2 linked regions of the Lytechinus pictus genome follow. The protein of the gene in region 1 interacts with the protein of each later gene in a pairwise test. Links are inferred from orthologs where the notes say so. Each region holds a gene or a part of one and is shown in the gene's direction. Other genes may lie near its edges.

Region 1 (7,545 bases):
ATCAATCTTACAATCAACATTACAGAGAGACCTTGTAAAATCTAATTAATTGGTCAAATTCATCTATGTCACAAAGAATCAGTCAAACAATATGTAATGGACACCACACAGGTTTAGATTAAAATATCAGAATTACAGTAAGCAATTGTAATTACCATTGGCAACGGTAATGGTAAAAACTATCTCTTTTATGGTGATTTGATTGACGTTATCTTCCAAAGTGAAGCTGAGGTGTGCACATTCAGTTTGTATTTTCTATGTAGCATCTTGTTATAGATTGATGGAAGTCAACACAAAAACAATAAGCAAGACACTCGATAGCTCTCCGAGATACCTGTGACAGATAATGGTGATTCACAAACCTTTAGCTAAAGAGGAAGAGATGGGGTGCCATGTTACCCCTCTGGACTGCCCTGGGGTGCCCTGTAAACCCCTCTTGGTAACCCAGGGGCACAGGGCTTCCCTTTAGTCAGCACCAATAAATGATATCACAATTTTCCTGAACACTAACGTTTTAGAATAAGTGGTTTAGATCATGATTTCCTTTTTGCTATGACCTATATATCTATGACTTATGATTTAACATATTAGATGATTTATTCAGAAGTAGTCATTTTATATGCTTTACATTAAGAATAAACATCACATTTGAGGAACAAAGGAGAAAAGAAGTTGGCGGAGGAATATGCGCCCTGAGCAATAGCTCAACATTACAGAAGGAGATGATGATTATATGAAGGGTGTGACCTGGGGGGTGGGGGGCACTCACATATATTGGTGGTACTCACCCCGGGGGGGCCACTTACATTGACGAGTGGATACCATGCGCGATCAAAAAAACACGTAAAAAGGATGTCTTTTTCAAGATAGGGCACGTTACGTACGTAACGTGAAAAGGGTGTCAAAAACACAAAAATATTGAAAAAAGGGTATCTATTTCGCTCGGAAAAATATACGTGTTTAGGGTCAAATATGCGGGGATGATAAAACAAAATCAAAATGTTTTATAAAGGATGTCCTTTTTGCCCCAACACTACGTGTTTAGAGTCCGATTTGCGCGAGGTGTGGAAGGTGGGGCCGTACTAAACCAAAATAATGGTGTCTAAAGGTAAAACCGACGACCGAGGGACGCGTGACATAACAAAATATCTCTGCACTTGTTTAGGGGTTCATTTCAGGGAATACTTGCTAAGAGTATCGTTTTGTTTCCAATACTTGTTAAGGGGTGCATTTTCAGAATATGGAAAATACATCGCTGTACTTGTTTAGGGGCTCAGTTCTGGGAATACTTGCCAATAGTATTTGTTTCCAATACTTGTTAAGGGTAGGGTTTCACACGCCAATACTTGTTAAGGGGTGCATTTTCAGAATATGGAAAATACATGTTTAGGGTGCTTTTCAAGACCCCGTGGTCGCGCATGGTATCCACTCGTCAATGGAAGTGGCCCCCCCGGGGTACTCACATATATTGGTGGTACGAGGACGTGCCAATTGATGATCCCCTTTTTCAGACCTAATTTTCAGTTCTCTAGATACTCCGAATGACAAAATTTCAGTTCAGAAGCTGCACAGCCCCGCTCGCAATACTCCTGTTACGAGACATCTCAGTTCCCAAGCCCTGCCAAAATTGTCAAGGGTGAGCACCGCATCCGAGAGATGCATGTACGGCTTCGCAACTCCCTGCATATAACTAGTAGCCGCCCCATACATGGCTAGGGCATGCACAGGGAGTGAACAGTATGATTATGCAACTCTCTGTTCAGCCGTGACAAGGTAGGCATCAGGAATATTTTTAGCAAAAAAACAAAAATTGAAAAATAAGTTCCAATATGATGCAACTTTCATTAATAGTCTTGTGATGGGGGAATTTGCATATTTTGCTCACTGATTTATTGGCACATATATATCCAACATCTTGAATATTGAAATGGTGTAATTTCCTGGGGGATGCTCAAACACTACAACCTTCAAATGGGACTATGGAAAACCACATTTCTGTGTTGTTTAACACTTTGGCTAACCGTACACAACATATCAGCATGTTGTGAAACACTGCTGTGGTGTTCCCCTTGAGTGGTTGGTTTAACTGTATGTCTGTAGAACTCCTTTAAGGGTATGTTTGCTTGAATCTGTCTGTTTTAATTCAATTTGTTTGGTCCTTTGGTGGTAAGGCTGTGTTACTTTAATCACCTTCCCACCCCACTCCACTCACCTACCATGATTTATCATCCTACTCGACCTTTCTTCACAGATATCTGTATGAAATTTCATCGTCATAATCATAGAAAGTGTATTTCTCTAGCATATTTTGTTAAAATGAAACTTGTCATCACCCACTAATCACATGATGACAACATGTAGTCAACCACGTGTATAATTTCAACATGATATTTGGGCATTCCCCATTATGGTGAGCTAGATTGCCTCTCTTACTCAGCCCATAACCCAAAGATTAAAACCCAAACCACAGTCAAACTATGATTACCTTTTATATCCCCATACGCTTTTTGTTCTTACCAAATTAACCAATATCTTGTGCAATCAGAGCAATGAGGTACTTCCCCAGGACAAGGTTTTAACCAGGTCTGAATTCACCCACTGTTTTGAAAGATTGTTTAGAAATTCTTTACACCTTTTATTATTTGGTAAAATTGTAAATTTAGTAATTGCAGCATGTGATATGATCCTCCAATATTAAATTTTCTGTAAGAATATTATTACTTAAAAAATTTCATCCAAAAGTTGTCCCCAAATTAAAATTTCTTTTGATGACACAATTTATGTCAATCATTATCATGATTATTGAGCCTGGAGAAATGTTTGTTTTGGGTTTTTCTGATGTGACCATCTGTTTGTATAAAACCAAACATTGGTAGATATAAGTTGCCATGTAGGGCATGCTATTAAGATAGTACTTAGATGTGAGCATGCATGGCTGTGTTTAGTTGTTTGAGTTACATTTCAGAATCTAATGTAAAATGTTAGTAAATTTGACTGATAATGAATGGATAATATAGCATAGTAGTTTAGCAGGATGTGAAAATATTCAAATCAATCATTAAATTTTATGAAGATACATGTATTTAGATTTTACAGATTGTGTGTTCAGTCGATCCATACAAATCAAAATCAGTTTGTTTCATAAAATCATATTTTTATATGGGCTATTTGGGGTCCTTCTTTCTGATTTGAATATGAATGTTGAATTTATTTTTTTTCTTTCCTGTTTGATTTTTAAGTGTTAACCTTAAACTTTAATACATCTTTGTGATATTCAAAATAATCTGATGTATATTTTGTGTGTTTTTATTTTTCTACTAGTTGGGTGAGGTTAGAAAATCAAATTTTGTTTTGATGCAATTATTTTTTTTCATGTGATAATTACAAAATACAAGTCTGGACCAGTCTTTTCCTAGCATGTGGTCTAAAACTTTGTTGGCATTTGGCCAACTCTAGAAGTCTGTCTGTGATTGGCCCATTGGCAGACCAAAACATTACATCATTGGCTATTTAAACACCCCCAAACTTCTCCAATACTCTTTCATTCCATTGCAACACTATGCTTGCAGAAATAGGAAACACTAAAAGCATAATGACCTGTCATGACCTACCCTGTAACACACAAAAAAATAATGTGTAACATTCTATCCCATTGTCAACCAATCAATAGCTGTAGCTTTGTTTTTAAATTGTTGCAAAACAGGTCCCTGGTATGTGCACTGTCTTAATATTTGCAAAATTTTAATACTCAGGAAACAAACTTTAACCATTCTTTCCCTTTCAAGGAACAATTATTGATGATTATTTGTTTATTAATGATTATGAAAAAATATTTTACATTGTCATAAATAGATTATGTACATTAACCTTTGAATGTATTTAAAATAGATTGTGGAAGAACCATTAAGGCTATCCACCCTATTACAGAAAAATGAATGAATAAATTAATAAATAAAAAAACAAAATGCAGGTACATTTATTAGAATAACTTTTAAAAACAGTTTTTTCTTCAAACATCAGTTGTGTATTAAAAATGAAAATTGTTATTCAATGATCCAGTATGATAACAATCATAACATACTCTATAACATGTAACATATTATGTAGCACTTACAGAAGATTACTGACATGTCTAAAGCTGATATTATGTGAAGAGGTTAAAGGTGGATGTTGGGCCAATATTTTATGCACTTTGAAAACTGTGTCAAGTCCAATTTCGTCTCTTATTCTTGCATATATTTAATGTGACACTGGCTTACAATTAATGTGTCAGTTTAGTTATTGTTGATCTACCCTTTACCATGACAACAGCTGATACAATAATAAATTGTTTCCTGAATGGTGTTTTTACTTTTCAAAATGGAAAATGATAAATTGACCATACATTGTGCAACATCTCCTATACGTCAAGGTTCTGTCACCTGTTTGATCTAGACTCGGCATGTATTGCTAAATACCGATTGTTTTTGTAAGAGCTTTTTATAGATCTGCCGTCCTGTAATAGTTTGAAAATTGTTTTGGTTTAAATGTGGACTACTCCAACGTGTAACTGTCGTTTTGGGGAGGTCAGTACCATGTTCCTTCCTCTCCTACCACTGGATTTCCTGTGAGAAGATCATGAATATTCATCAGGTGACTATTCATGTAGACTGATGCAGTGCATGTCACAATGAATGAAGGAAGCATGCATTATTCATGTGGAGTGATTTGATTGGATAATGCTGTGATGTCATAGAACTTTTCTCAGGGATTGAGAAACCTCATTGGTCCAACAAGCCTTCTCCCTGTGAATATGTATGAGAAGACAGATATTTTGATAGGTTGGCTGTAAACATGATCTTACCAATTGGATTGATAGATATTGATTATGGACAATTGTGCAATATATGGGTGAAAATTTGACAGACTCTTCTGTATAGTTTTAAAAATGATATTGCACATATAAGAGATAAATAGTCTTGTCTCCTGCCACAGACTTAATGTTCTGTAGTAACCTTCTTTTTGTGAAAGAGATAGGAAGTCTCCGATCACCTGGTGTTTCGTAGGTAAAGACTACAGGAACCAGTTTTGAAACCAAACATGATTTAGACACGCCAACATTAACCAATCACAACTCTTGCACCAGGACAGCCCAAGAGGAAGTCGTTTGTACAGCACGCTCGTTTTGGCGGTTGATCTTGTTTGAGTATATAGTCATCAACTCTCCTGCAGACCTTATCAGTCTGCTACACATCCCTGACTGGTGGAACATACAACTTTTCTGCTCTTAGCAACTCAATGGTCAGCTCTTTGTGATTTAGGTGTAGACTGCCAATCAAAAGGAAAAGATTTCTTGATTGAGGATCTGTTACTTTTATCAATTTTCTTGGAGTTTTGAGGCTTTTCTATAATCACCATGCCAATCCTTATCCCGACAATCTTGACGATGCCCAAGTCTACCAGACGAGGCAGGTTTATTAAACCTCTTCCAGTCCAGATAGATGGACCTACGTGTAATCACAAACATCTTGGCAAATTGCCCTACTGTAAGGTATGTCATATCAATCTGTAGCTCTACCTATTTCATTCATACCTGATTTTTTAAGTTTTTAAGTCATTGTAATCTTGTTGCTTATGTGTTTAAGATGCAGATTATCTGCTAATAGTGTGTATAGATCTACCCTCTTCATCTTCCTTGCATGGTATATTGATAAATTCTCCTCATTGGTGGTGTGATTTGTAAGTTTTAAGGATTTAAATAAATTCAGATTAGCTGTGAATAGGGTCCAGCAAAATATTGGATTTTTAAATCTTGAGTATTAATTTTGTATCTCAAAAGATTTCATTCAAATCTTTTAAGTGGTCTCTAATCTGTCTTTATTTCAACCCCTTGAAATTTAGAGTGTACAATAAGTTTTTTGGGGTCGTAAGAACCTGCATTCATAATTTTGTTTTACATTACAAAATAAATTTCTATCTTAAATAGATCCAGTGAAGATTTACCAGCTGAACAATATTGAATTGAATACTAAATTCTTTTAATTAAATCCTTTGAGATTTGAAAATAATTCCTTAGGTTATAAAAATAAATCAAATGACTGACTGGTTTATACTATTCACATGTTGAAGTTTCATAGTGCCACTTATTGGCTTTCCATATCATATAAATACATGCTTCATGAACATGTAAGCATATCACCATGTCTTCATCTTTAATTTCTATCTTCATCTACTTGAAATAATTGATTTCAGCATTCTCTTCTATTGGTATTTCTTTCAATGATCAATCCTTTCATTACATCTTTCTCATGATCTATAAATAGTTAATTATACCCTCCCCTGTTTCTCCACATCCCATTCCCCTTAATGGACAGCATCCCCCATCTCTATGGGATCCATAGCAACATGTATTTGTTTAGTAGATTACAATGTAATCAAGGAATCCATTTAGTATCTTGTTTCCTTGTCCACTGATGGAGATAGTGATGAATGATGAAATGATTGTGTGCCCATTGACTTAGAGTTCAAAATGCATAATTCAAATTATCTTGAAATTTAAAAGTAAAACATTTTATTAACATGGTGAAGGAGGTATTAACATTGTTCTCTCAAGGTGTGCTTGATGCTTTAAGTTATGATTGACTGTTTTGAAAAACAGGAAAACTCATGTCAAATACTCCCAATAGACATAGATGATGCCATCCGCTTGAGATGGAGTAACAGCACTTCTGGGAATGATTTTTGTTGAAACTTATTAAGGAGGTAATTGCTAATTAAGTTTGACTTCCACTTAAGATTTAATTCACAGCTCTACAAAGTAATAATTGGATGTTTGTCAAGGAATATTATGATTTATTGTGATCCTAACATATCACTTGGAAATTTCGTCAAAAACATTGTTCGATAATATTAAATGCTCATTATTCATAAATGTCAAGGATTGTTCTCTATGTTATATCAGAAAGACATTATGACAAACCCAGGAAAGCTCAATATGAGCCTAAACCTTGACTTTTATTTTCATTCTTGATAGATATTTTTACCTTGGCATTTACATGATGCTTTCTATTTCTCTATAATCTTCAATAACATAATCAGTCTTACTTTTTTTCATCTTCCTCCATTTTCATTCCAAGTATTTTATTTCAACTTGAATTCATGTGAACCAATATATATCTTGAATTAAAACATTATTAACAAATGTTATTATTTTTCCTTTGAAAGTATAGTGGCTGCGTCTTTTAACCCTTTCATCTTCTTAGCATCATGATAGTGCATCAGTTTGAATTTTCATTTATTACAGATCTTAATCATCAGTGATAAAATGTCAGAATTATGAGTGAAAAGTTTTCAGGAGGAAATTGAATGTTAATGGCAATGAAATGATAAAGACAAATATGTACTAACAGAGATGATCAATTGATCAGCAAGGCTTAACATTCCTTGGCAAAGATTCTGAAGTTTCAATGAATAAGACATGGTATGATGATGGATGATTGTTACATGACAAGTAAATGTCAGAGTTTGAGATTCATACTGCCTTGTCAACATGAGACTGGAGGTCAT
Region 2 (7,232 bases), about 23 Mb from region 1:
AAAGGACATGACAAAATACATGTGCACATATGCATGTAATGAGCTTGGAGTCAGAGCAAAAAATTGCAATGTACAAGTCTATGAAGTGTTTTCATGCATCAGAAATATATAAATCATATTCTTGGATTTTATTTCAAATCATTCATTCATCTTATTTTTATCATCTTCTTCCTTTCTTTCATCAAGGTAAGGAGGCTACTGCAGTTTTGAAATATCTCTGTTTCAGCCTTTAACTTCTAATAATGCATAGGTGTTACATGAAAGATGGCAAGCAATAAAATTCATTATTAAGTACTAGCCATTTTTTATTTTCATCAAACAATGAACATGTAGCATATTTTGTTTAATTAAAAAAGTTCACCAGGCTATACATGGGTTGGTTTTGTGTGCTGCCCTCTCACAAAATGTAGCATAAAAGTAACTTTATCAGCACACTGTTCTCCGCACATACTACAACGGAACCTGGACCCTGGCTCATGACATCCCTTATGTATAACATACATCAAACTGTCTTCAAATGTGATACCACAGAATGAACAACGCCACGGCAATCCCTCCTGGTCTCTTTCCCCCATCAAGGAAGTATTGACAAGAGGATTAGGTGGTGGCTGACTGCTCTGGGAAGAGGAAATCTGCATGTTGGGAGATTCACTGCTTACTCTTCCAAGAGAAGGACCACAGTCCTGACCCCTTCTAGGATCATCAACCAGAGGTACAGAGAATCTTGCAGGAACAGTGGGCGGCTCAACTGGTCTTTCCAGTTGAATTGTTCCACTGGATGATGATGCCTCTGCTCCACTTTGGACCAAAGGTTGAACTTTCCTCAGTTGATCATCTCTCTCATTCTGTCTAGTGTGTGTAATCGTATGTGCAGCTGGTTGTTCAGGTCTTCCTTTGTGGGCCTTTTGTTCCTCTCTATTTAAAGAAAAGTCAGGTGGCTGGTCCTGAACACAATCACCATCCGCAGATGGTTCCTCAGATGTTGTTGTGTTACTGTGGACTTGTACAATGTTGACAACTTCACTCCATTCTTCATCGTCCTCAGCTTCTGTCTTAATGGTGATTCTGTTGACAGGACTCTGGCTTCTTTGTTCAGAAGTGCTTTGGCTGCTTGGTGTCTCTTTACTCGTTGGGCTATTTTCAAAGTGAAGATTCCCCATGGAATGTGTCGATTCTGCAGACTGTGCTGCCAGGGACTGTGGAAAATCTATCAAAGAACCCTCTGCACTTGCAGGATATCTATTAACGAAAGCAAAAGGTGCTGGGGGATTTCTCAGGAATGAATCCAGGCTCCTGCTCCGGATGTTAGCTTGTCTTTGAGCAGAGAGGGCCATCAAATGTGCTGCACTATTAGGGGACACTGGAGAAAGACTTCCCGGTGAGTCTACAGGTGGTGACAACATATCCAAACTAGAACTAGCTGAGCAACAAGAGTTCTTCAGATGTCTTTGATACTCTGCCTCATCAGCCAACAGTATCCCACACTTGCACCTCCGAGGGTTCCATTGATACAGTCGACTATGCCCTTTCATATGGCCTTGTAGTGCTCTATTTGTTTGGAACTGCCTGCCACAACGTCTACAACTAACAGGTTTTTCTCCTTCATTTGATGTCGAGGGCAATTGGTTTGGACTCGCTGATGGAAGGTCGATCCTGACAGGTATATTGGGAGGTCTGTGCTTTTTGTAGGTCTTCACCATTGAAGGATGCTCTATGCTAATGTGTTTTTGCATGCTACGGGAGCCACCAATGAAGATTCCACAATGTGGACAGCTTCTACGCTTCTCTGTGTGAATCTTCAGGTGCTCTGTCAAATGCTGAATATCTGAAAACTGAGCGTGACAAAGGGTGCATGTATGTGTCTGAATATCAGCCATTGAGTTTTTGTGGGAGCGCCGATGCCTTTGAAATGATGCCCTTGAGTTGAAGTTGGCTGGGCACTGCGGACAGGCATACGGCTTGGCTCCCATGTGTTTGTTGATATGAAGCATCAGCCTCTGTTGGCTAGAGAACACGCGGTCACACATACTGCACTTGAGAAAGAATCCAGGACTTCTGTTTTCCGATCCTGCAGCATTCAATGACGCTTCACCAGGGCTATCCAAGGACTCAGTTTGCATGAACTCATCATCCTCAATGTCATCGTCATCATCATCCACAAGAACAAACTGCATGTCCACAGTTTCTGTGGTCTCGGACGAGGTCTCTCGAGACAGATTGCTCCCATGTTTTGACAGATCTTGTGGAATTTCAGACTCATCTTGTTTCTTTTTTTCTGCTAGCATTGGATTCTGGGAGTCAAAGTTCACTAGCTGGGTTCCTCTTTCAAGTGGTGGTCTAGCAGAGGCTGAATCTTCACTGCTTTTTGACCTCTGTGACCGATGATGTCCTGGTACTACTAAAGCTGAGCTGGTTTGTGAGGCTGGGTCAGATTTATCTTGCTGAGTGCTTTCCATCTTACATTTGACAAGGACCTGAAATAAAAGGAAATTGAACCAAATAGTTACTACTTGCTTGATTGTGAAAATACCAAACAAACATTGCTTCAATATCATACTTCAAAATTTTAGGAGCTTACAAATGTCAATTATTCTCATGCATTTTGCACAAACATTATTTTGATTCAAACATGAAATAAAATTAAAACAGAGACATAAATTGAAGCCTCACATTATTAAACAGTTTTGGCCATCACTCTAAATACATCTACACTGAAGCCACTTGGACCACACACCTAAGTTTGTTTCTGTGTACGCTATGAGACAAGTCCTAAACTCAGGTATATTTTACATGCAAAACAAACTCAAGAGATAGCTATCAACATTCACAATTCAAGGATTGAAAATTTGGGATACAAATGTTAGAAATTTTGAGCTCCATAACAATACTCCAGTCCCCATGTTTAAGGATTTTTTCTATAAAAAACAACAACCCAGACAGAGCACTTGGAACATCATGTATTTTTGCATGGATTTTGATCCCACAGCTGCCACCAAAATTACATAAGAGATTTATTACTAAATTCTTTAATGAAATTTGATTAAATTTTCAGTGTTTTGTTTGTCTGATTTTTCTTAATCTGTTTAAATCATATTCTCAGCCCGGAGCATCCCTTTAAACAGATTTAGAAAAATCAAACAAAACACTGAAAATTTGATCAATTTGATCAAAATCTGACTAGAAATATCAATGTTATGGCATTTTAAAAATTTGCATTATTCCGGTGAAACAGTTCTAGGCATGTCTTCATGAATATTCAATGAGCAACTTGATGATGTCATATCCCCAATTGTTCTTTGTATTCTATTATATGACATTTGGTTTATTCAACTGAAAAAAATTGGATTGACAACTGATTTAGTGCATTAGATATTCATTATAAAGGAGACACATTATTCACACATGTATGAAAAAATGAAACAATTATGATTTCATGTAATAACATAAGAAAAAGAAAATGGGGATGTTACATCATCAGCCCACCTAATGAATATTCATGATGATCTGATGTGCATTCTGTTTTCATAAATTATTGCTAAACTTTGAAATTCAATAACTTCGTTATTTGTTATCTGATTTTGATGAAATTTTCAGCATCTCTTATTCTCTTCTGAACTTCTTCCTCTGTTAGTTTTGGAGATCAGCAGAGAGATCCTGCACGTAGTAGTCTAATGTTTGTCTTCACAATAGTAGGCCCGGTCTATGTAATAATGTATTGTAATAAGAGTGGTCAGTCAGAGTGTTTAACATTATTTTCATGTAAGGCTTTATACTCACCAAACGTGCCGAATGAGATAAACAAGGGACCAAAACAGAGTTGAATAGACTGTATGTCTATTACTATTAGTATGGTAGTTGGTGCATGGCGAAGCCTCAGGTCAGTCAGGACTCGGGAGCTATGCACTGCAGTGCAGTCTCATCTCACCCAGTCTCAGCTCAGCTTGTCTGAAAATGAACTGCACTAGCCACTATGCACAGATTCCATTTGATTCCATTCAAAATTTTTAAATTGATCTCAATATAGTGCAGACTGTGGGCACTTGTCATGCTTGTCGAATCAAATGTCAAAATGGGCAAGCTATAACAGATATGGGAAAAATAAAGTTGATGACAACTGCCATATTAATACATGGGATGCCTTCACAGTACACAAACTATAGTGGGGCATCCGTGATTGAAGTATATTGCAAATATGATCTATGAGAATATACTACTACACACGTAGTAGTCTATTCTGAATAAAGGGAGGTCAATGGTGGCAGCGCCTTCATCCTGAGCGAATTATGTTAAGTATATACTTTTGCTCATTAACGGAAATTTTCTTGAAAATTGGATTGTATAATTTTTAAAACAGTCAATTATCTTTCAGAGGATGTCAGCAGTATTCTTATCTGGAATTTTGGGTCGACTTGGGGACATCAATTTTTCTTTTACCCCCATAATGGAATGAAACCTTCCTTTCGCAGACGTCAGAGGTCAAAGATTGATGATGACTTCGGGGATCACCGTGTGAATGCCGACTGAACATCAAAGAATTTCGGTAATGTATTGTATTTCTATCTTCAGAACTTATTATTGTCGTATGGTTTTTGTTATTTCAAGCAGTATGTTACTGTTAATTGTAATTTCCATGTTTGTATAATATTGTAAAGCATGATTTATTGTATTGTAACGGAAGCGACACAGACGCGGCCGCGGTCAACTTTTTCTCTGTAGACTGAATCTACGTGCCGGTACGGTCTCCGGAGTCCGGTCCGGGCTGAGCAGGGGAGAGTGTTGGGTGGTGCGCATCATCCAGCAGCATGCATGAAGCCGACGAGTCAAGGGGCAGGCTGCAGCATAGAGAATGCACTGCCCGCGCAGGCTCTGCTCTGCATGGCAGGGGTTGCCGGGCTCAGACTCTGAGTCTGACACAAGATATCATTACTATTAGACAGCTGGCAGCCGTCTGCTTCAAGGCGTTTTTTAAGTTAACATTTTTTATTTTTTCTTATTTCTTCTCGTACACAGACGGCTCGCGACCGTGCAGCCGCCGTTATGGCGTTAGGGGGGTTAAAAAAATAAAAATTCAAAATCCCCCCGACGCCGACGGGGCTCATTGATTTTTGTCTTTATTTCATAACAAGAAATCTAGGAAAGTTCATTCTCCTGTCAAGTGCCGACACCAATCAAGATTTAACTTTTTGAGATGAAAAAAAAAACTCCCCATAAACAAAGACAATCTCAATTTATCAAGACATGAACATGATTTGTCTTGGTTTATGAGGATATCCTGGCTTGTGTTCTGGGACAATCCCAATTTTTGAACCAGTCCCTCTACTGGGGATATGATCCGCAGAGACTTCGTCTAGCTCCACAGTAATAATAATAATAATATGTTCATTTATATAGCGCTCTTACAATATATCATCGTTTCACAGCGCTTTACACAATGATGGAATAGAAAATTATAATAACTTATTATACTAGCAGATAGATGAGCACCTGGCGAAGCCGGTCGGCCAGACCCTCGCCATGACCATACGATTGGATTTTTCGCGAGACCGGGGTACCTCAAAACACCCCAAAATAAAAATATAATGGAAATCATGCACTTAGATCAATTCTTTTGATGTTTGCCCAGAGTCACTATCATCAATAAGTAGTATTCAGGAGCTTGACCCTGAAAAAAGGAAAATAATCTGGTATCTGTTCTCTCTGATTCAAAATTGCACACAAAATGGCAAGCATGTATGAATTCTAACTAAAGTTAGTGATCAAAAGATCTACCCGCGGCAGCTCACCTGTTTTTTTCGCATTCAGTCTATACCGGGGGGGGGGGGGGGGGGGGTACTCGACCAAAAAAGTGGTAGGTACATGTATGTGCCGCGGACGAGACAAAAAACGGGGGCCTTGGAGCGGGCTTATTGTAAAAAGGAGGGTCCTCAGAACAGGTTTCGAAACTACAAATGTTTGTGAAAACGGAGGTCCTTGGAACGGGTCGCCTGCGTGTGAGTGCGTTTGCATCCCTATGGAACAGGCATATACGTGCATGCAGCTAGCCCGGTGGCACGGGCGCAGGGTGCGCTCGCGCAGAGGCGATTGTCGGACAGCACTCTGCGGCCGCTTTTCCACTAAAATTGCAGCTCAGTGTAGCAGATCAATGCGGCCGGCACGGCGTAACGTAAAATATGCTATGCTTTGGAGCGGCTTTCTTTGTTCTTTTTCTCAATAAGACAATAATGCTACGCCTTGGTACGGAAATTTGAGTGTAAAAATGGGGGTCCCCTCCACGGCACATGTACCCATTACGCATTATATACTGAGTTGCCCCCTGGGAGTCCATATCAAAATTATGTTACCTGTGACACTTCTACCAATGTAGGTTTTGAGAAAAGTCTAGCGTATACAGTTTGCTTCTTGTCAACACAGTTCCATTCAGCCCTTGGTACTGGTAAGCTTAGTATTAAGGATGCCTTTCTGTTTTGACTATAATACTGCTCGCATATTGCCAACAGGCTACAAGCTCACTTAAATCCATTGAACCATTTGAAACTTGTCTTCCAATGTTTTATTACAGAGAATGTTTGATAACAAAGGCAAATTGTAGCCAAATAAGTTATGAGTAAGTTTTCAGACAAAGTTCAGATAAATTACAAAGTACAATGTAATCTTTGTTTTCCTTTTCTTTGGAACAGATTTTCTAGTTTGATTCACCTTCTGTGCGTAATGGGGAATAAACATTCATGTGGCTGCATTCAAAGCTGTCACAAGAATCCAACCAGGCGGGCCCACAGGGCTCCTTCTCAAGAAATAGAACGATACGAGCCGACACCTGAAGAAGTAAATGTGGACGAAAGATCAAATCTCCAGCATATTGGTGACAGAGAGACTGGCATAGAAGGTAAACAAGCAACTTGTTTAAATTATAAAAATATAATCCCATACATGTAACTGAACACCATTTATACTCTGAATAAACGGTCAAGGCCAATAAATTAATGCAGTTCGACTTAAACAACAAACTGATTTGATGAATAAAAAAATACCATCGTTGGAATGAGCAGTGGAATAAAGAGCCCAAACTTTTGAGGGGCACAGCATGCTGTATACATGTAAATGTAAAAACAAATTGCAGGTGAGTGGAGAAGGGGGGAAATATTTTGGCATTTTTAAAATGACATGTTTTTGTGAATGTACAAATAATATCAAAGCTCCCCCCCATAGAACTGCCTCCCAATTTGCTCCTCGAG

The links. The genes of interacting proteins can lie anywhere in the genome.
Region 2: the proteins of cyclin-dependent kinase 14-like (region 1) and cyclin-Y-like protein 1 interact in a two-hybrid assay, tested with the Drosophila melanogaster proteins (2 studies listed by BioGRID). The link is inferred for Lytechinus pictus from reciprocal best matches to the Drosophila melanogaster genes Eip63E and CycY.

Annotation. Positions count from the first base shown.
Region 1 is NC_087245.1:10,467,415-10,474,959, reverse strand, and holds the start of cyclin-dependent kinase 14-like, read left to right. Parts: upstream 1-4,535; 5' UTR 4,536-5,395; coding exon 5,396-5,530; intron 5,531-7,545.
Region 2 is NC_087245.1:33,479,763-33,486,994, forward strand, and holds the start of cyclin-Y-like protein 1, read left to right. Parts: upstream 1-4,222; 5' UTR 4,223-4,540; intron 4,541-6,677; 5' UTR 6,678-6,708; coding exon 6,709-6,883; intron 6,884-7,232. Other genes in the region: zinc finger and BTB domain-containing protein 24-like, read right to left, coding at 366-2,456.